Macaca mulatta: one gene and its partners. The protein of the gene in region 4 purifies or fractionates together with the protein of the main gene of each other region. This does not show direct contact. Links are inferred from orthologs where the notes say so. Each region holds a gene or a part of one and is shown on either strand. Other genes may lie near its edges.

Evidence for each region.
Region 1: the proteins of PRP4K (region 4) and ZC3H18 purify together in Homo sapiens (co-immunoprecipitation; 4 studies listed by BioGRID and IntAct, counting the BioPlex papers as one, with this or other methods). This does not show direct contact. The link is inferred for Macaca mulatta from reciprocal best matches to the Homo sapiens genes PRP4K and ZC3H18.
Region 2: the proteins of PRP4K (region 4) and SART1 purify together in Homo sapiens (affinity purification with mass spectrometry; 3 studies listed by BioGRID and IntAct, with this or other methods). This does not show direct contact. The link is inferred for Macaca mulatta from reciprocal best matches to the Homo sapiens genes PRP4K and SART1.
Region 3: the proteins of PRP4K (region 4) and PNN purify together in Homo sapiens (affinity purification with mass spectrometry; 5 studies listed by BioGRID and IntAct, counting the BioPlex papers as one, with this or other methods). This does not show direct contact. The link is inferred for Macaca mulatta from reciprocal best matches to the Homo sapiens genes PRP4K and PNN.
Region 5: the proteins of PRP4K (region 4) and USP39 purify together in Homo sapiens (affinity purification with mass spectrometry; 3 studies listed by BioGRID and IntAct, with this or other methods). This does not show direct contact. The link is inferred for Macaca mulatta from reciprocal best matches to the Homo sapiens genes PRP4K and USP39.

Annotation. Positions count from the first base shown.
Region 1 is NC_133425.1:84,020,948-84,025,041, reverse strand, and holds the end of ZC3H18 (zinc finger CCCH domain-containing protein 18), read right to left. Parts: intron 3,044-4,094; exon of another isoform or gene 1,984-3,043; coding exon 1,887-1,983; exon of another isoform or gene 1,374-1,886; coding exon 1,175-1,373; 3' UTR 506-1,174; downstream 1-505.
Region 2 is NC_133419.1:8,451,983-8,455,495, reverse strand, and holds part of SART1 (U4/U6.U5 tri-snRNP-associated protein 1), read left to right. Parts: intron 1-143; coding exon 144-270; intron 271-393; coding exon 394-499; intron 500-756; coding exon 757-834; intron 835-949; coding exon 950-1,049; intron 1,050-1,138; coding exon 1,139-1,281; intron 1,282-1,412; coding exon 1,413-1,619; intron 1,620-2,317; coding exon 2,318-2,442; intron 2,443-2,529; coding exon 2,530-2,645; intron 2,646-2,738; coding exon 2,739-2,881; intron 2,882-3,513. UniProt on the Homo sapiens protein: Plays a role in mRNA splicing as a component of the U4/U6-U5 tri-snRNP, one of the building blocks of the spliceosome. May also bind to DNA.
Region 3 is NC_133412.1:112,287,991-112,292,226, reverse strand, and holds the start of PNN (pinin), read right to left. Parts: upstream 2,810-4,236; 5' UTR 2,779-2,809; coding exon 2,666-2,778; intron 1,991-2,665; coding exon 1,919-1,990; intron 1,539-1,918; coding exon 1,470-1,538; intron 665-1,469; coding exon 592-664; intron 485-591; coding exon 390-484; intron 237-389; coding exon 161-236; intron 1-160. UniProt on the Homo sapiens protein: Transcriptional activator binding to the E-box 1 core sequence of the E-cadherin promoter gene; the core-binding sequence is 5'CAGGTG-3'. Capable of reversing CTBP1-mediated transcription repression.
Region 4 is NC_133409.1:179,203,387-179,206,899, forward strand, and holds part of PRP4K (serine/threonine-protein kinase PRP4 homolog), read right to left. Parts: intron 1,453-3,513; coding exon 1,279-1,452; intron 1-1,278. UniProt on the Homo sapiens protein: Serine/threonine kinase involved in spliceosomal assembly as well as mitosis and signaling regulation. Connects chromatin mediated regulation of transcription and pre-mRNA splicing.
Region 5 is NC_133418.1:38,768,993-38,772,505, forward strand, and holds part of USP39 (ubiquitin carboxyl-terminal hydrolase 39), read right to left. Parts: intron 1,625-3,513; coding exon 1,488-1,624; intron 1-1,487.

The DNA of each region.
Region 1 (4,094 bases), on a different chromosome or scaffold from region 4:
GAGGCCTCTGCCCAGGTGCAGGCCTGTGGCTTTCAAGGTGGAGAGCAGAGAGCGACAGCGGGGGCTCCTGGGGGGCTCTGCTGGTGGCCCCTGCTGTGGAACGTGGCATCACACATGGGGCCTGGCTCAGCAGGTCTGGGGCCTGCACACGGAGCCGGTGGTGGTCACTGCAGAGGTGGCAGCTGGGCTCAGGGCTGGGAGTCAGCCCCGGACCTCTTCCCCTCCAGCAGCTCCATAGCCCCTGCAGGGAAGGTACCTCCATCTCATGAACCAAGGAACGCCCAACACAGCCCCACAAATGGAGAAACTGAGGTGCAGTGCTTCCCTGGGCTGGGGTCTGAAGGCAGGAGCTGCTGCATGGCCGGTCCTCCCAGGGGGAGTGAGCGCGCAGCCACACCCTCGCCCCCAGCGGCTCCCGAGTGCTGGGCCAAGTGCAGCGCACGACACAGAGGCAGACGGGCTGTGCCTGGGCAGACGGCGCACACACCACAAGGGCAAGAACAGCTGCTTATCAAAATATTTTATTTTAGGAGACCCCTCAAAAAAGACCCTCCACATTAGACAGACGCCCCAACAATACCCTTGGCCTTTTTTTTTTGGTCTTTTCTGTATTTTTTCCTGTTTAAATCAACTAAAACAATTTGATGCTTAAAATAAAAGACAGGAAGTATTTCCTGATGAGACTTTAGTCGAGAATATAGATATATTTCTGATCCGGGGGCGGGTGATCGGGGGCGGGGAGGAGAAGGAGGTGCCACCAGTGGTTCTCGAGGTTCCATTTCTCAGCTCAGGAGGGAGCCTGGCTGCCTGGACCCGGGCTGGGGACGCAGAGCTGGGGCTCCACAGGCCCAGGCCTGACCAGGGCCAGGGAAGAAGACGGTGGAGGAGGAAGAGAAGGCGGGGCTGGCGGCTGGGGCTTGTAATTTACATGAGAACTGTGCTGGTCACTCGCGCTGTCTGTGTCTGTCCTGTGGGACTTCTGCTCTGGGGAGGGAGGCTGGGACTCAGCGTCGTCGTCATCTCCTGTGTGGCTTCTTTTCCAGCTGAGAAACTTTTTTTTCTTTTTTACTTTTTAAAAAGAATCACAGCCAAAATAAGACATTAACTGCAAAATCCAAAATGGCTGCGCTTACCCTATGTATAAAAATGCGTCCAGTCCGGTCAGGGGCACGGCCTATGCTTTCCCGGGGATCTTGGCCCGCTTGCGCGCAATAGCGTCCTCCACGGCCTTCAGCTGTTTCAGCAGCTCCTCCCGCCGCGACAGCGTGCTGGCCTTCCCTGATTTGGTGCTGGCGGCGCCGGGATCCGAGGCTTTGCCGGGCACGCTCGTGACCTTGCTGGAGCTCTTGGACTGTGGTGACAGCTGGCGCTTCCTACAAGGGGGTGGGGAAGACCTTGAGCCCCCAGAAGCCACGTCTGAGGTGGAAGCAGCAGTGCGGTGCCCTCCCTGAAGGGGAACTTCCACTGAGTGCTCAGTGGCCACCAGGAGAGGCAAGGGGCTCCCGGGATGGCCAGGCTCCCATTGCCACAAGCAGGCCTGGTCCTAGCCACTGGCTGCCGGGCTTTGTGGAGTAGAGACTGGGAGGGTCCTGGGCTGGCCCCACACAACCTGCTCTTCTTCCCACCTCCGTGCCCAGAGCTCTTTGCCCAAGGACATGGGGAGCAGAGGGCAGCCTCCAGCCTCGACCAGGGCAGGAGTGTGTGTGCGGGAGTGGGGTTGCCCTTCCCTGTCCCTGTCCCTCACCACATCAGCCCAGCAGGAGCTACAGGAGCTGGAGCACCTCCAACCTGGCCCAGTGCTAGCCCTGCTGCTGCTGGCCTCCCTGGGAAAGAGGCTCAGGCTAGCCACCCTCGGTGTGCCCAGGGCACATGCTGGGTCCACTCACCTGTCAGCCGGGGCTGCAGGGGCTTTGGAGTTCTGGCCTCTCTGTCGCTCTGGCTTCGGGGAGCCCAGTCTCCCACCTGACTTCCGGTCTCGAGAACCTGGGTGATAGGTACAGAGTGAGACCACCCTCCTGGCTTACAGGGGATGGCAGTGTGGGTGGCCTCACCAACACCAGGGACTCACTTCTAAAGCCTGAGGCTGCTTAGTTCACCTCCTTCATTTTTATAAAGAAATAAAAAGGGAAGAGCCAAGTAGAAGAGAAGAGACATGTGGACACCAAGGCATCCGGAAATGAGGCTGAGGCCAAACCTGGGCTCCAGGTTCCACCAAGTAGCCAGTATCTTGCGCAGAGAGACAAAACTCCTTCCTAGCTTTGAAGAAATTTATCACATGGGGCTTCAAATACAGAACAACAAAAAAGACATGGCAGTAAAGACATACAAGCAAAGCCGAGAGACCACGAGTGTCACTCTGGCAATGTTAGGAGGGAGGCGCGGCAGCCTAGGCAGGGTCCACTGCCCGGCGCAGGCCCAAGGCTCATGCGTGAACAAAGGTCTGCAGGACCCCAGTGGCCCTGGTTCCAAACCCAGGGAAGGACAGCGAGGCTGTTCCAGACCAACCACACAGGACACTGCCCTGGGCTTAGGGACAAAGGTGAGCAGCTTCCTCTTCCTACGCCCGACAAACTCAGAGAACTACTCAGGAAGGGGTCTGAAGCCCCCTGCCTGTTCTCTGTGTCTGGGAGTGGCTGTGCGGGTGGCCAGGCCCCCTTGTCCTCTGGTTTAAGTTCCACCCATCAAAGCCAGCCAGGACAACCTCCCTGTCTTTCCATCTGGGCCCCAGCTCTTGGGGTGTGGTCAGGACGGCTGGGGGTCCCCGAGGCCCTTTCAGGTCTATGTGGCTCAGCAGTAACACAGACACTGTCTGCCCTGTCACTCAGTTCACAAGAACCCAGGAGGGTCTCCAGAGGGCACGAGGCACGTGGGTCCAGCTGTCTTCTGTCAGTCAGACTGAAGAGATTTGCAAAAATGGAAAAACCAATGCCATTCCTGCTCATTTGTTTTGGAAAATATAATTATATTTTGCAAAAATGACACGTGTAAGAAAAATACAGGCCGGGCGCGGTGGCTCAAGCCTGTAATCCCAGCACTTTGGGAGGCCGAGACGGGCGGATCACGAGGTCAGGAGATCGAGACCATCTTGGCTAACATGGTGAAACCCCATCTCTACTAAAAAATACAAAAAACTAGCCGGGCGAGGTGGCGGGCGCCTGTAGTCCCAGCTACTCGGGAGGCTGAGGCAGGAGGATGGCGTGAACCCGGGAGGCGGAGCTTGCAGTGAGCCGAGATCCGGCCACTGCACTCCAGCCTGGACGACACAGCAAGACTCCGTCTCAAAAAAAAAAGAAAAAAAAAAAAGAAAAATACAGTTGCTCTTGTTGCCCAAGCTGGAGTGCAATGGTGCAATCTCAGCTCACTACAACCTCCGCCTCCCGGGTTCAAGCGATTCTCCTGCCTCAGCCTCCTGAGTAGCTGGGACTACAGATGCGTGCCACTATGCCCAACTAATTTTTTGTAGTTTTAGTAGCAACGTGGTTTCACCATGTTAGCCAGGCTGGTCTCGAACTCCTGACCTCAGATGATCTGCACACCTTGGCCTCCCAAAGTGCTGAGATTACAGGTGTGAGCCACCATGCCCGGCCTATTACTGTTATATTTATTTATTTATTTATTTTTGAGACAGAGTCTTGCTCTGTGGCCAGACTGGAGTGCAGTAGTGTGGTATTAGCTCACTGCAACCTCCGCCTCCCGGTTCAAGTGATTCTCCTGCCTCAGCCTCCTGAGTAGCTGGGATTACAGGTGCCCGCCACCATGCCCGGCTAATTTTTTTTTTTTTTTTGGGATGACGGAGTCTGTCACCCAGGCTGGAGTGCAGTGGCGCTATTTCGGCTCACTGCAAGCTCCGCCTCCCGGGTTCACACCATTCTCCTGCCTCAGCCTGCCGAGTAGCTGGGACTATAGGCACCCGCCACCTCGCCTGGCTAGTTTTTTGTATTTTTTAGTAGAGACGGGGTTTCACCCTGTTAGCCAGGACGGTTGCAATCTCCTGATCTTGTGATCTACCTGCCCCGGCCTCCCAAAGTGCTGGGATTACAGGCGTGAGCCACTGCGCCCGGCCTAATTTTTGTATTTTTAGTAGAGACAGGGTT
Region 2 (3,513 bases), on a different chromosome or scaffold from region 4:
TGGGAGCAGGGAGGTGAAGGATTGTTCCTTCCTGTCCTGACCCCTTCTGGCCCCCTGAGCTGGAAGGGGGCAGGGTGAGTGGCTCCCTCCTCTCCCCACCAGCCATGGGCGGGCATAGCCTCACGTCTGGGCCCCCCTTCCAGAGGCGGGCACCAAGGAGGAGCCCGTGACAGCCGATGTCATCAATCCTATGGCCTTGCGACAGCGAGAGGAGCTGCGGGAGAAGCTGGCGGCTGCCAAGGAGAAGCGCCTGCTGAACCAAAAGCTGGGGTGAGGGGTCCTGGCCAGGGCAGGCAAGGGAAGGGCTGGGGAGGCCACCATCCTTGGCTGCCTTTTGAGTGGGGTTGGGAGCAGGAGCTGGGCTCCTGGAGCATCACTTTCTCCCCTCTTCAGGAAGATAAAGACCCTAGGAGAGGATGATCCCTGGCTGGACGACACTGCAGCCTGGATCGAGAGGAGCCGGCAGCTGCAGAAGGAGAAAGACCTGGCAGAGAAGAGGGTGAGCACCTGGGCAGCATGGGGTGGTTGCCCAGTGCTTTTGCTGGCCTGACTGGGCATTGAGGCAGGGGGTGGACCCCAGAGAGTTGAGACGGGGTTCGGAGAGGGGATGGGCTGTGGTTGGTAGCATCCGCTTTGGATTCTCAGCAACTTTCCTGCAAGGCCTGCTCTTTTTGCACTCCGCTTGGTAGAGCCCTGAGTGTTTTCTGGTGGTGCTGAGTGGCCTGAGGTCCTAGGTCACCCCTCCCTGTCCCATAGGCAAAGTTACTGGAGGAGATGGACCAAGAGTTTGGTGTCAGCACTCTGGTAGAGGAGGAGTTCGGGCAGAGACGGCAGGTGAGGCTGCAGCAGCCGGGGTGGGTGGTGCAGGGCACACTGGCGGCCTTGATGCTGGAATCCCAAGGTTGGGCGCATGGAGGGAGGTTCTTTACTCGCCTGATTCTTCTGTTAGGACCTGTACAGTGCCCGGGACCTGCAGGGCCTCACCGTGGAGCATGCCATTGATTCCTTCCGAGAAGGGGAGACCATGATCCTCACCCTTAAGGACAAAGGTGACGCGAGCTGGGTGCCTTGGGTCGGGGCACAGCCTCTGCTGAGTTGTGGACAAGTGTGAATGGCCACTGCTCTGTGCTGCCCGCAGGCGTGCTGCAGGAGGAGGAGGACGTGCTGGTGAACGTGAACCTGGTGGATAAGGAGCGGGCAGAGAAGAATGTGGAGCTGCGGAAGAAGAAGCCCGACTACCTGCCTTATGCCGAGGACGAGAGTGTGGACGACCTGGCGCAGGCACGGCCCAAGCAGGCTGGGCGGCGGGGGCTGGGGTGGAGAATGTCGGGAATAGGGGCTCTGAGGAGGTGGTGGCTCAGTGGCTTTTCAGGAGCCACCCTGGGTCCCAACCTGTACCTCTTACCTTGTAGCAAAAACCTCGCTCTATCCTGTCCAAGTACGACGAAGAGCTTGAGGGGGAGCAGCCGCATTCCTTCCGCTTGGAGCAGGGGGGCATGGCCGATGGCCTGCGGGAACGGGAGTTGGAGGAGATCCGGGCCAAGCTGCGGCTGCAGGCTCAGTCCCTGAGCACGGTGGGGCCCCGGCTGGCCTCCGAGTACCTCACACCCGAGGAGATGGTGAGCCCTCTTGCGCCTTGTACTTGGGGTCATGATTCTCCCTCCCCTTGGGGCTCCTGCGCTGCCCGCAGGCACTGGGAAGAGAGGGCAAGTATTTCTGTTCACAAAGCGCTTGGCCTCGTGGGCAAGCAGTAAATGGCAACCTGGGGAGGCACCAGGTGTTGACGGGTCAGGGCTGCTGAGCCAGATGGGCCCCAGTTGGTGTTTCTGCTCTGCCATACTGCCAGCTTGTGCCTTGGGTAAGCCATTTAACTGTGAGCCTGGGGTGCCCCATCTGGAGTGGCAGTGATAGGAGCCACCTCCTGAGGTTGCTGTGAGGATGAGTGACAGTGTGGCTGAGGGGTGACTGGAAAGGTGTGCGTGGATTCTGTCCGCAGAGTGACTGTGTGAACGTGAGGTAGTCAGCTGGTGTAGTAGGCGTCTTGCTCAGTGGGTAAGAGCAGGACTCTGGAGCCAGACTGCCCGGCTTTCCCACCTAGGAGCTGGGCGACCTTGGGGAAGGTACTTAACCTCTCTGTGCCCCAGTTTCCCTAATCACCAGTGGAAGGGAGATAGTAACCACCCCACGTGTTGCTCATGTGTGAGAAGTGCTCAGGACACTGGCTAGCACAGAAGAACACCAAAGAAGTGTTCATCCTCGCGGGCTTGTGGTGGCCTGCCTTTCCCCGCCCCGCCCCACGCCTCCCTCTTCCCCTCAGGTGGCCTTTAGAAGGACCAAGCGGAGGGTGAGGAAAATCCGCAAGAAGGAGAAGGAGGTCGTAGTGCGGGCGGATGACCTGTTGCCTCTCGGGGACCAGACTCAGGATGGGGACTTTGGTTCCAGGTGGGCTTGGACACCATGGTGGGGTGAGAGGGCTGGGCTGGGGTGTCCCGGGGGCCGGTGCTCACCAGAGAGGCCTCCTTCCCTCAGACTGCGGGGACGGGGTCGCCGCCGAGTGTCTGAGGTGGAGGAGGAGAAGGAGCCCGTGCCTCAGCCCCTGCCGTCGGATGACACCCGAGTGGAGAACATGGACATCAGTGATGAGGGTGAGGGCCTGGCCAGGGGGTGGGAGGGGGCAGGGACAGGAGCCCTGGGTTGGAGGAGATTGTCTGAGCAGGCATCCCCTGTGTATCCCCCAGAGGAAGGTGGAGCTCCACAGCCGGGGTCCCCGCAGGTGCTGGAGGAGGACGAGGCAGAGCTGGAGCTGCAGAAGCAGCTGGAGAAGGGACGCCGGCTGCGACAGTTACAGCAGCTGCAGCAGCTGCGAGACAGTGGCGAGAAGGTGAGGCTGGGCATGGGCAGGCCTGGGGCTACCAGTGCGTCAGCAGTCACCTGTCCTCACGAGCACATGTGTCATAGGCAACAGCCACATTCCTGTCTGAAGCCTCTTTTCCATTTGTTTTTTGTTTTCTGGGTTTTGTTTTTTTTTGAGACAAGTGTTTTGCTCTGTCGCCCAGGCTGGAGTGCAATGGCGTGGCCTCGGCTCACTGCAGCCTCCGCCTCCCTGGTTCAAGTGATTCTCATTCCTTAGCCTCCTGAGTGGCTGGGATTACAGGCACCTGCCACCACACCCGGCTAATTTTTGTATTTTTAGTAGAGACGGGGTTTCACCGTGTTGGCCAGGCTGGTCTCCAACTCCTGACCTCATGATCTGCCTGCCTCGGCCTCCAAAAATGCTAAGATTACAGGTGTGAGCCACTGCGACCAGCCCTGGTTAAAGTCATGTTTTCTGTTTAAAAGTCATGTTTTGCAAAAGTTTTTAGATGCCTGCTTTAGTAGGGGATCCTTTCCTGGCCTGTCTCTTCCTGTGCATGTTTGTTGAGTGCCTGCTGTGGGTAGTGCATTGTTCTTGGGCCGAGAAGGTCATTGGTGAACAGGACAGCCACGGGGCCCTGGACTCAGGGAAGTGGCTTT
Region 3 (4,236 bases), on a different chromosome or scaffold from region 4:
TTTAAGTAAGGCTGTTCTATAAAAAGTTAAACCAAGTTTTCATTTGGCTTTATTTTAGGTTTACAATTAAGTCTTAAAACAGCTTTAAGGCTTAAAAAAAAATTAATCTACTACTTTGATAACTTAAATACATGATGCAAAACAAAACTTGGATAAATACCCTTTCAGTAGCAACAGTGGATTCTTGTTTAAATTTTTGAAGGGTACCCATCAACAAGCCAAATATTCGCCGGTTCCTAAAGAACAGAATAAGAAAATTTACTGTCAACAGGATCCATTTCATTTAAACCCATCATTTTCTAAGAAACACTACAGGACACTTGAACAATCCCTTAATTTTCCTTATAACTGCATTATTTCACAAGAGTTTTTTTCCCCCAGGGAAATACCTTTGCTTTCCCTTTTCATCCATATTTTGATCCTGGATAAGGTCTCTACGCGTGCGCTCTTTGGAGGTAGCTACAACTGAAGACTGCAATGCTGGCTGCAGAAAAAGAAAATCTCAGTAATTAACTAGCATATGAGTGGTGTGCTTTCAAATGTAGTAAAGTGAAGGTACTACATTCGTTTAAGTTCCTTCAATCTCAATACCTTTTTAACATCATCATCCTCTGGGTCGCTTTCCTGGCGTGATTCTCTTCTGGTCCGACGCTCCCCACCCAGCCTGTCATAGACAAAATTACTTTTTTTGAGACAGTGTTTCACTATACCATCCAGGCTGAAGTGCAGTGGTGCCACCACAGTTCACTGCAGCCTCGACCTCCCAGGTTCAAGTGATCCTCTTGCCTCATCCTCCCAAGCTGGGACTACAGGCGTGAGCCAGCATGCCTGGGTAACTTTTTTGTACTTTTTGTAGGGATGTGATTTCACCATGTACCTAGGCTGGTCTGGAACTCCTGGGCTCAAGTGATCTGCTGGCCTTGGCTTCCCAAAGTGCTGGGATTACAGGGATAAGCCACTGTACCTGGCCAGAAATTAATTTAAATGACCAGAGGTATTTATGTAACTGCACACCAAAGGCAAATGCCCTCTCTTTCTAGGACTCATTTCCAGAAGCTTTGTTCTATCAAGTCTCCATTCCATTTTATTCTTTCCTCCAGCAGAGAAAGAATACAACATGTGAACTAACACCCAAACTAACTCTGCTCTCCTGTATTTTCTAAGTATTTCAAACTGGTTAAGTATTTCAATTACAAGTCAGAAAAAAATGGTACTAATTGACAATTTTTCCAAATTTACTCTTCACCTGACCTTTATTTTGATAAACTGTGGGTTATCATGAGTGCAGAACTGTGTTTTGAGAGAACTGACTCAGTTCAATCAAATACCAAGAGAACTTGTGAGGGGGGGGAAGTGGCACACTACTCAATTGTAATATTACTCAAACAGCATTATTATTAATAAATATTTGTATTTGTGTTGTACATCAGAAACTAAAGAAGACTTCAGGAATCTTTTTACAGACCTACCTACTGACTGCCCCTTCAAGGTCTCTCTGTTTGGCTGGGGGTCCTCCTCCACTATCTGAGAATCCACGCCTGAAATTTAAAATGTTCAACATAAAGCACTTGAAATACAAGATAAACGGTATTTCCATTTGACAAGAGAATATGGTTGAAATTTTAAAAACCTTTCCAACTAAAGTAGCCTTAAATGGGCATTCATTCCCAAAATGCTTTTAGTGTTACTTTAAACTATAAGAATTAAGTTCACTCAAAATTGGTACACTTAATATATTCTTCGACCTCCAGTTTTTCAGGATAACTGTATTTATACGGAAACCTAGTCTATCACAAGCATTAAACAAAGACAACAAACACTGGGTTATCGATTTTATCACAGGTTTTGTGCAAGCCAATATATTTGTAAGTAAAGTACCAGTAGTTTCAGCATGAGTAAAGTCCAAAGGAAATCTTACCTCAGTAATAAACTACCACGTCCTCTACCTCCACCAGGACCAGAAAGGGCCAGCAATCTGGCTTGGATGGGCCTGTAAGAGATTTACAAATCAGTGCAAGATCATATGCAGACACACATAGTTGCACCAATTACTTTCAGAGATATGGATCCAAGGAGAAAATCGCAAAAGTTCCAAAAAGATAGTTTCAAATAAACCCAAGTGTCTGAAACAGGACAGGACGTACTATTTCATTTAACTTCCTCGTTTCTCCAGGACCTGTATCACAGAAATTATAATCACCTCGATGCCCCCACACATTGAAAAGCCTGAATCAGGTCCCCATCCCGCCATCCCCGAGGAAGCTGCACGTGGGCAAGAGGTTGGGGTGAAGTGGCTAGTGGCGTCCCGGCAGGGTCTCGGGGCCAGCCCTGGGCCGGGTGCCCGCCAGAGCGGGAAGGGGCTTTGTGCTGCAGTTCCGGGCCTGCAGGGCCGAGGGCGGGAATCAGTAGTCTGGGTCTTCTCACAGGCCTGAGAAACCATGCCGGCGTATCCAGGACTCGCTCTCCTTTCTCAGGAACCTGAGACCAGCGCTCTACGATGGGGGCCTGGGGCTTTTCCACCTCGGCGAGAACATGGTTTTACCCGCCGCCCCGCGAACAGGCCTCGAGGTTCCAGCCTTCTGAAGGCTGGCCGCCCTCCCCGCCCCCAATTCACCCCGACCAGAGGGCTGCCTCTCCGAGCTCCGAGTTCCCGTTAAGCCCTTACCTCACGTCATTCGGATCCCGCCCGGTGAGCTTGCGAATATTCTCATCCACGTTCTTAAGGCTCTCTTTGGCCTTTTCTAGCTGTTCCTGCAAAGTTCTCACTGCGACCGCCATCTTCTCCCTGCAGCAGGCCTGAGACTGCTTTACAGGCCGCGCCGGGCTGTGCCGCGCCGCCGAGACGCGAAAGGACTGACAGCCGGGCTCAGCCAATGACGATGAGCGTTGTTTTCCGGCCTCAACCACTCAGCGACCGGAAGGGGGAAGAACCTGCAGCCTTTGTGACTCTGGGCCAATGAAAAGTCAGCCAGGCAGTCACCTCCCTCCCCAATTAGCTGCGGGTGCCTGGATCCCGCTGCTAGCGCAGAGCCGGGGCGGGTTTCACAATCCCTGAGTTCTCAGAGACTTGGCCCGCAAGCCTGCAGTTCTGGCAAGGAGAGCGCGGAGTTTTCCAGGCCTTTTAACCTATGATGTAATGTGCCTTACACAGTTTTAACCTGATCACATCAGGGTGGGACTTAGCCAAGCCTCCTTTTCTTCCTTACCCTCACCTTGGTTAATGGTTTAATTAGAAAAGGGCGCGGCTATTCTGTTGGTGCGCATGCTCAGAGAGGGGGTGGGCGCGTGCTTTCCTCTATTAGGTTAATTTTTTTTTTTTTTTCATACGGAGTCTCGCTCTGTCGCCCAGGCTGGAGTGCAGTGACACCATCTCGGCTCACTGCAACCTTCGCCTCCCAGGTTCAAGCGATTCTCCTGCCTCAGTCTCCCGAGTACCTGGGACTACAGGCGCTTGCCAACACGCCTGGCTAATTTTTGTATTATTAGAGACCGGATTCCACCATGTTGGGCAGTCTGGTCTCGAACTCCTGACCTCAGGTGATCCGCCCGCCTCTACCTCCCAGAGTGCTGGGAATACAGGCTTGAGTCACCACGCCCACCCTGATTAGGCTAAAGTGAGCAGAAGGAAGACAAAAATAAAAACTAGGAAAAGTCATTAATCATAATGACTAACATTGGTTAGGGGTTGATCTTGTTCCCGACCCTCTGTGAAACCCTCTACGTGCCTTATTCCTCACAAACTAAAAGTGTGGATAAAAATGCCTGTTATTACTGATAAGGAAATTGAGACTGGAGATAATATAACTGTCCCTTGGTCGCGCCAGTTGAGAATCAGTCTCTGATTAGACCCTGAGCATCTGTACTAGAGAAAAGAAAGCAATAGCGAGACAGGCAGTCATGGTTGAGTTAGCCTCTTCACCTGGCCTAGAGCTGGTTAAGACCAGGCCTAAGGGAGCGGCCCTATTGTTAGTGGTGTCTGTGTGTGTTGTCCTGCTTCTGGTTCTGCCCTACCTGCACTGCCAGTGTGGGAACCAGTTTTGTTCTATAAACATATGTATACACAAATGGAAGCTCAGAAAACAGTTTTTTCACAGGCCAGGCACAGTGACTCATGTCCGTAATCCCAGCATTTTGGGAGGCTGAGGCAGGTGGATAACTTGAGGCCAGGAGCTGGAGACCAGCCTGGCCAACATGTTGAAACCCCGCCTTTACTAAAAATGCAAAAATTAGCCGGGA
Region 4 (3,513 bases):
AGAACACAAGAAATTTTTTATAAAAAGGGGAGAGAGAAAAAAGCAAGTCGTAAGATGAGCTTGGAGCCAGCAGACTAGCCGTCTCAGAAGGCAGGTCCTCTCTGCCCTCCTCCCCCAACTATTTGCCCAGCAATGAATACATACATGATCACAATGATTATACTGACTCTAGAAGAACAAAAACGTGTGATGAAAATAGGCAAAAGAGAAACATGGGTGAGGGGGGGTATTAAAAACCCTCATTGTGGCTGCGTGCAGCAGCTCATGCTTCTAATCCCCGCACTTCAGGAGGCAGAGACGGGCGGATCACTTGGGGTCAGGAGTTTGAGACCAGCCTGACCAACATGGTGAAACTCCACCTCTATTTAAAAAAATACAAAAAAAAAAAAAAAAAATTTAGCCGGGCATGGTGGCACGCGCACCTCTGTAGTCCCAGCTACTTGAGAGGCTGAGGCAGAAGAATTGCTTGAACTCGGGAGGTGGAGGTTGCAGTGAGATTGCGCCATTGCACTCCAGCCTGGGCAACAGAGTGAGACTTTGTCTAAAAAAAAAACAAATAAATAAAACCCCTCATTGTCCAGAGTGTACTCAGACCATGCATTTCCACTTCTAGGAATACAGCATACAAAAATTCTGAGAGATATGTAGAGATGACTACAATATAAGCCTTTGTTTTTTAAGAATTACATTCATTTATTACTTCAATTAAAAATGTTAAAAGATGGGCGAACAAATACCCATTTATGTTTTATATCAAAATATTTCATGTATGTATGAATTTTAAAAAATGATTCCCTGCTTTATAAACCACCTTTTTAACCTACTACTGATTACATATGCTTCAGATAAAGTGGTTTCTATGGCAAATTAAATAGGCCTTGGCCAAAGTCTACAGTAACTATCAATATGCAAAATTAATATAAAATGATAAGAAACTGGACTACATATTTACTACTATATGATCTACCTTGCCAGTTAAAAAAAAAAAAAATCCCTAAGCCTGGCTCATTTAATATTTATCTCTCATAAAAGAGAGAAAAAAGTCCTACTCTTAAAAGATTAATTTTATTGCATCTTAAATGAGTAATGATTTGGTTAAAATTCAAAGGAAACGATATAAAAGAAAACCCACGTGTAAAGACTGCTGGTAAAAGGAAACTGGGAACACAACTACGATTTTTCAGAGAAAACTGGTCAAAAGAAAACCTACCAACTGAGCTCATGGGTGGTTTAAAAACATTCAGAGTTTAATGAATCACAAGGATGAAATGTCTTTACCTTCTCCGAGGAGACCTGCTTCTTCTTCTTGGAGACCTGCTACGTCTGAGTGGGGAACGAGACCTCCTTCTAATGGGAGACCTACTTCTTCTTCGGGTTGGAGACCATCTATTGATGGGGCTGGCATCTTTTGATCTTTCACGTCTACTGAGGATATCATCTCGAGGTCGTGTTCTTAAGGGGATCAAATGCAAGTTAAAAGAAAAATAAATCAAAGTAAATGATTTTTTTTCTATATGCAAGGAATATCTGTAAGAAAAGGCACACTAGCCTAAAGAGAGTGAACTCTAATTAATGTGTTTTGTAACAAAACTTACTCAGATGGCCACAATGACATTTTAGTGTTATTGCAGGCAAACAATGAAAGGTCTTATTTCCTCTGGTCCCACAATTTGAAGAATTACTAAAGGTTATTCATACCAGTAAAGTTACTGATTCTAATTTCAAATAAACAACCCAAATAAAACCTGCCCACGTGAGTATAATATTCCATTTACTCAAATATCCCATTTCCATTGAAGACTTTTTCTTTCTACATTTTGACATTTCTCCAATTAAGGATCTCTTCTTTTTTTTTTTTTTTTTGAGACAGGGTCTAACTCTGTCACCTAGACTGGAGTGCAGTGGCGCGAACATGGGTCACTGCAGCCTTGACCTCCCAGGCTCAGGCAATCCTTCCATTTCAGCCCGCCCTGAGTAGCTGGAACCGTTAAGGGTATGCCACCACACCTGACTAATTTTGTTTTGTAGTGATGGGGGTCTCGCTGTGTTGCCCAGGTTGGTCTCGAACTCCTGGCCTCAAGTGGTTCTCCCTTGGCCTCCAAAAGTGCTGAGGTTACAGGCGTGAGCCACCATGCCTGGCCAAAAATCTTATTTTTAATGTCAAGTATAATAGGCCAGGCACAGTGGTTCACACTTGTAATCCCAGCACTTTCAGAGGCTGAGGGAGGATCACCTGAGCCCACGAGGTTGAGGCTGCAGTAGCTGTGTTTGTGCCATTGCAGCCCAAGTGACAGAGTGAGAACTTGTCTCAAAAAACCAAAAACAATAGCTAGGTGTGGTGGCTCACACTCGTAATCCCAGCACTTTGGGAAGCTGAGGCAGACGGATCACTTAAGCTCAGGAGTTTGAGACCAGCCTGGGTAACATGGCGAAACCCTATCTCTACAAAAAATATAAAAATTAGACAAGTGTGGTGGCATGTGAAGATAGTCCCAACTACTAGGGAGGCTCAAGTGGGAGGATGGCGTGAGTCTGGGAGGCAGAAGCTGCAGTGAGCAGAGATAATGCCACTGCACTCCAGCCTGGATGACAAGAGTGTGACCTTGCCTCCAGCCTCCCCAAAAAACCCCACAAAAACCCAACTTTTCAATACTTATCACAGAAGTACCTTTCAGTGAGTTTTACTCGTTTAATGTGATATTTGTATTACAACAGGCCTTTCTACAGCTTAATTTTTCAAAACAGGTTTTGAACATTTCTTAATGTTATTCCAGGTTTGGACACAACTATTTAATCTGAACAGTCAGACTGTAAATAGGTTTGTCTACATAATCAAATAATAACATTACAGTATTTTCCTAATTTATTATTATTTTTTGAGACGGAGTTTAGTTCTTGTTGTCCAGGCTGTAGTGCAATGGTGTGATCTCGGCTCACTGCAACCTCCATCTCCCAGCTTCAAGCGATTCTCCTGCCTCAGCCTCGAGTAGCTGGGATTACAGGCATGAGCCATCACACCCAGCTAATTTTGTATTTTTAGTAGAGACAGGATTTCTCCATGTCGGTCAAGCTGGTCTCGAACTCCCGACCTCAGGTGATCCACCTGTCCCAGCCTCCCCAAAGCGCTGGACTACAGGCGTGAGCCATTGCACCCAGCCTTCCTCATTTAATAAAAACCTAAAAACACAACCTGTCTTGCATGTTTCAGCACAGTATACAGAACCCAAGAATCTTTCTCTGATCCAGCCAAAATGAGCAAGGTAGACTTTGACTCAGATCTGCAGTGCTTACTTCTTGGTAGTGCTTTCTTGATAGGGTCATCTGAGGAAACTCTTATTTAATCTGCTCGCCCACACGCGCAATCTCAAAGACCAGTTAAAAAATGTAAACGGGCCAGGCACAGTGGCTCATGCCTGTAATTCCAACATTTTGGGAGACCAAGGCAGGCGATCACTTGAGGTCAAGAGTTCGAGAACAGCCTGGCCAACATGGGGAAACCTCGTCTCTACTAAA
Region 5 (3,513 bases), on a different chromosome or scaffold from region 4:
CTCAGATCTGGTCAACTCATGAAAACTGACTGCCAGAAACTATTAAGTTCCTAAAGGCAGTCTAAGTCTCAGATAGAACCTCCCGGGAGCAGCACATGTACCTAGCTTTGGAGCAGGAGAGTTTCCTCCATTCTGGGTGAGACTGAGGATCTCCACGAGTCCCTGGTACTGGAAGAGCAGGATCAGACTCTTCTCAGGCAGTTACCAGAGTCATTATGTCACAGACTGGACAGAGGTCATCCCAAACTCACTTTGAAACACTGAATTTAGCCCAGTTTCTCCCTCTATAAATACTGTCCATACTTTTTTTTTTAGACGGAGTTTCACTCTTGTTGCCCAGGCTGGAGTGCCATGGCACGATCTCGGTTCACTGCAACCTCCCACTCCCAGATTCAAGCAATTCTCCCACCTCAGCCTCCCAAGTAGCTGGGATTACAGGCATGTGTCACCATGCCAGGGTAATTTTGTATTTTTAGTAGAAATGGGGTCTCATCATGTTGGTCAGGCTGGTCTCAAACTCCTGACCTCAAATGACCCACCTGCCTCCGCCTCCCAAAGTGCTCAGATTACAGGCGTGAGCCTCCGCACCCAGCCTGTCCATAACTATTTTAATCTCAACTACTAATAATAGGCTTATAAAATTTTTACAAGTAGAAAAAGCAATATTTCAAAGACTAAATACCACCATTTCCTTAAAAATAAACAGAACATGACCAACCTGGGCAACACAGTGAGACCCCATCTCTACAAAAAATTTTAAAAATTTATCTGGCCATGATGGTAATGCCTATAGTCCTAGCTACTTGGGAGGCTGAGGTGGGAGGCTGAGGTAGGAGGATCACTTGAACCCATGAGGTCGAGGCTGCAGTGAGCTGTGATGGTGCCACCACACTCCAGCCTGGGCGACAGAGCGAGACTCCGTCTAAAAAACAAAAACAAAACAGAGCACTTGGCACCATGAATATGCCCCAAGTGCTGAAAAGGAAAATAATAATCAAAAACCCAACACTAATCAAAGCCCATGCTCAGCACAATGAGTGTCTCTTGGTACAGGCCACAAACTAGAGCCCAGAGATGAGACATCTGTGGCTGGATGCTCTGGTCCCATCATATGTTAAAAGCAGCCAGAAGCTGGTGTGCAGCTTGGTAAATATTGTCCTACACCAGGACCAATTCATATCCCTGCTTCAAAGTGTGGAAGAATAATTTCACAAAAACACTTTAAACCCCATCAGAATACACCCATATTTCTTCAGTCCTAGCCCTCAATGTTACAAGTAGAAATGACAGTTAAGTTATAGACTACAGGCTGCAATTATGAATTCTGACCTTACTCAGTTTCCCCAGTTCTTCCCAAAAGGGAAAGCAGCCTCTCGATGCCCAAAAGGACTGAGATTCTTCCCTGTCCTCAGATGGGGCAGTCCCCTGGGAGCCCTGGGATGGCTCATTAAAGAATGGACCCCAAACCAACCCTCTTAGACACACACCGTGATATCCTCCAATGAGGAATCGATGATCTCATAGTTGTCTGGAAGGCAGTAAAACTTGAGGGTATGGAGGTTGAGGAAAACATGGTGGCTAAATTGGACACTGTGAATGTAGGCGTGAGACTTCAAACCTCGGCCTATAGGGAAGGGTGAAAGGCTGTAATAGAAGGGCAGATACTAGAAGGCACAGATCAGGTTTGCTTTTCCTTTCATTATTTTCTACCGGAACATGTTAACATCCGCGAAAAACAAATATTATGTCATTCATAAAATGAATCCTCCGCATGAAGTTCTCTCATAAAAAAACTAGCAAGAAAGACTAGCACATTAGTTACTTCTTTCTCTAGATGGCATAAGACATTGACTGGGGAAACAAAGTTCACTATTTTTTGCAAATATTTGTAAAATACATATGATATATAAAATATAGATAATCTCTATATATATAACTATATATTCACATACATAGTTTCCTATATATATGAAACTAGAAACATCTATGCATGTGTGAGTGCATAAATACACATATACATAAATATATACATATCCTATGACAGTCCATCATCACTCAGTCCTGAATTTCCAAATGCCCATATTCAGGACAATGCTGTATCTATGTAACTTTTCTCATATTGCTACTCCTTTCTAGAATCTCTCTCCCCTAACCATTCAAACTCCTATGTCCTGCCAATTCAAGTCCCACCTCCACTCCTTCATGAACTCAACATCAACACTCCAGCTAACATTGATTTTTGCACATTTTAACTCCTACTGCACTTATTTTTACTCAGTGCCACGGTCCAGCAGTAATCTTTATGGTCTAACAGAACTCGCTCGTTGTTTCACATGTCAACCTTGACTCCTTAGAAGCTCCTAATAAGAGCAAAGAATATAGTTTTTATCTCTTTTTTTGAGACAGGGTTGCCGGGCGCGGTGGCTCACGCCTGTAATCCCAGCACTTTGGGAGGCCGAGGCGGGCGGATCACAAGGTCAGGAGATCGAGACCACGGTGAAACCCCGTCTCTACTAAAAATACAAAAAATTAGCCGGGCGCGATTGTGGGCGCCTGTAGTCCCAGCTACTCAGGAGGCTGAGGCAGGAGAATGGCGTGAACCCGGGAGGCGGAGCTTGCAGTGAGCCGAGATCGCGCCACTGCACTCCAGCCTGGGCGACAGAGCGAGACTCCGTCTCAAAAAAAAAAAAAAAAAAAAAAAAAAGAGACAGGGTCTTGCTATGTTAGCCAGGTGGATCTTGAACTCTTGGCTTTAAACAATTCTCCTCCTCAGCCTTCCAAAATGCTAGGATTACACGTGTAAGCCACTGTGCCCAGTTGTTTTTACCTCATTTGAATCCTCCACTATACTATGTACATGGCATCTGCTTGGTGTGAATGAGTTGAAATGATACATTTTCAGAAAAAAAAAAAAAAAAAAGGTATAAAAAAAGTCCTTTGAGCTAAAGGATACTTCAAAAAAAAAAAATTTGTAGCCTGGGTAACATAATAAGGCCTTGTCTCCACAAAAAAAAATAAAATAAAATATTTAGCCAGATAGCGGGGTGCAATGGCTCACATCTATAATCCCAGCACTTTGGGAGGTACAGGCAGGCACACTGCTTGAGCTCAGGAGTTTCAAGACTAGCCTGGGCAACAGAGTACAATCCCATCTTTTAAAAAAAATGTGGCTGTGTGCCGTGGCTCACGCCTGTAATCCAGCACTTTGGGAGGCCAAAAAGTGTGGATCACTTAAGGTCAGGAGTCCAAGACCAGCCTGGCCAATATGGTGAAACCCTGTCTCTACTAAAAAATACTAAAATTAGCCAGGTGTGGTGGTGCATGCCTGTAATCCCAGCTACTCGGGAGGCTGAGGCAGAAGAATCACTTGAACTTGGGAGTCAGAGGCTGCAGTGAGCCAAGATCACGTCACTGCACTGCAGCCTGGGTGACACAGTGAGATTCCATCTCTTAAAAAAAAAAAAAAATTAGGCTGGGGGCAGTGGCTCATGCCTGTAATCCCAGCACTTTGGG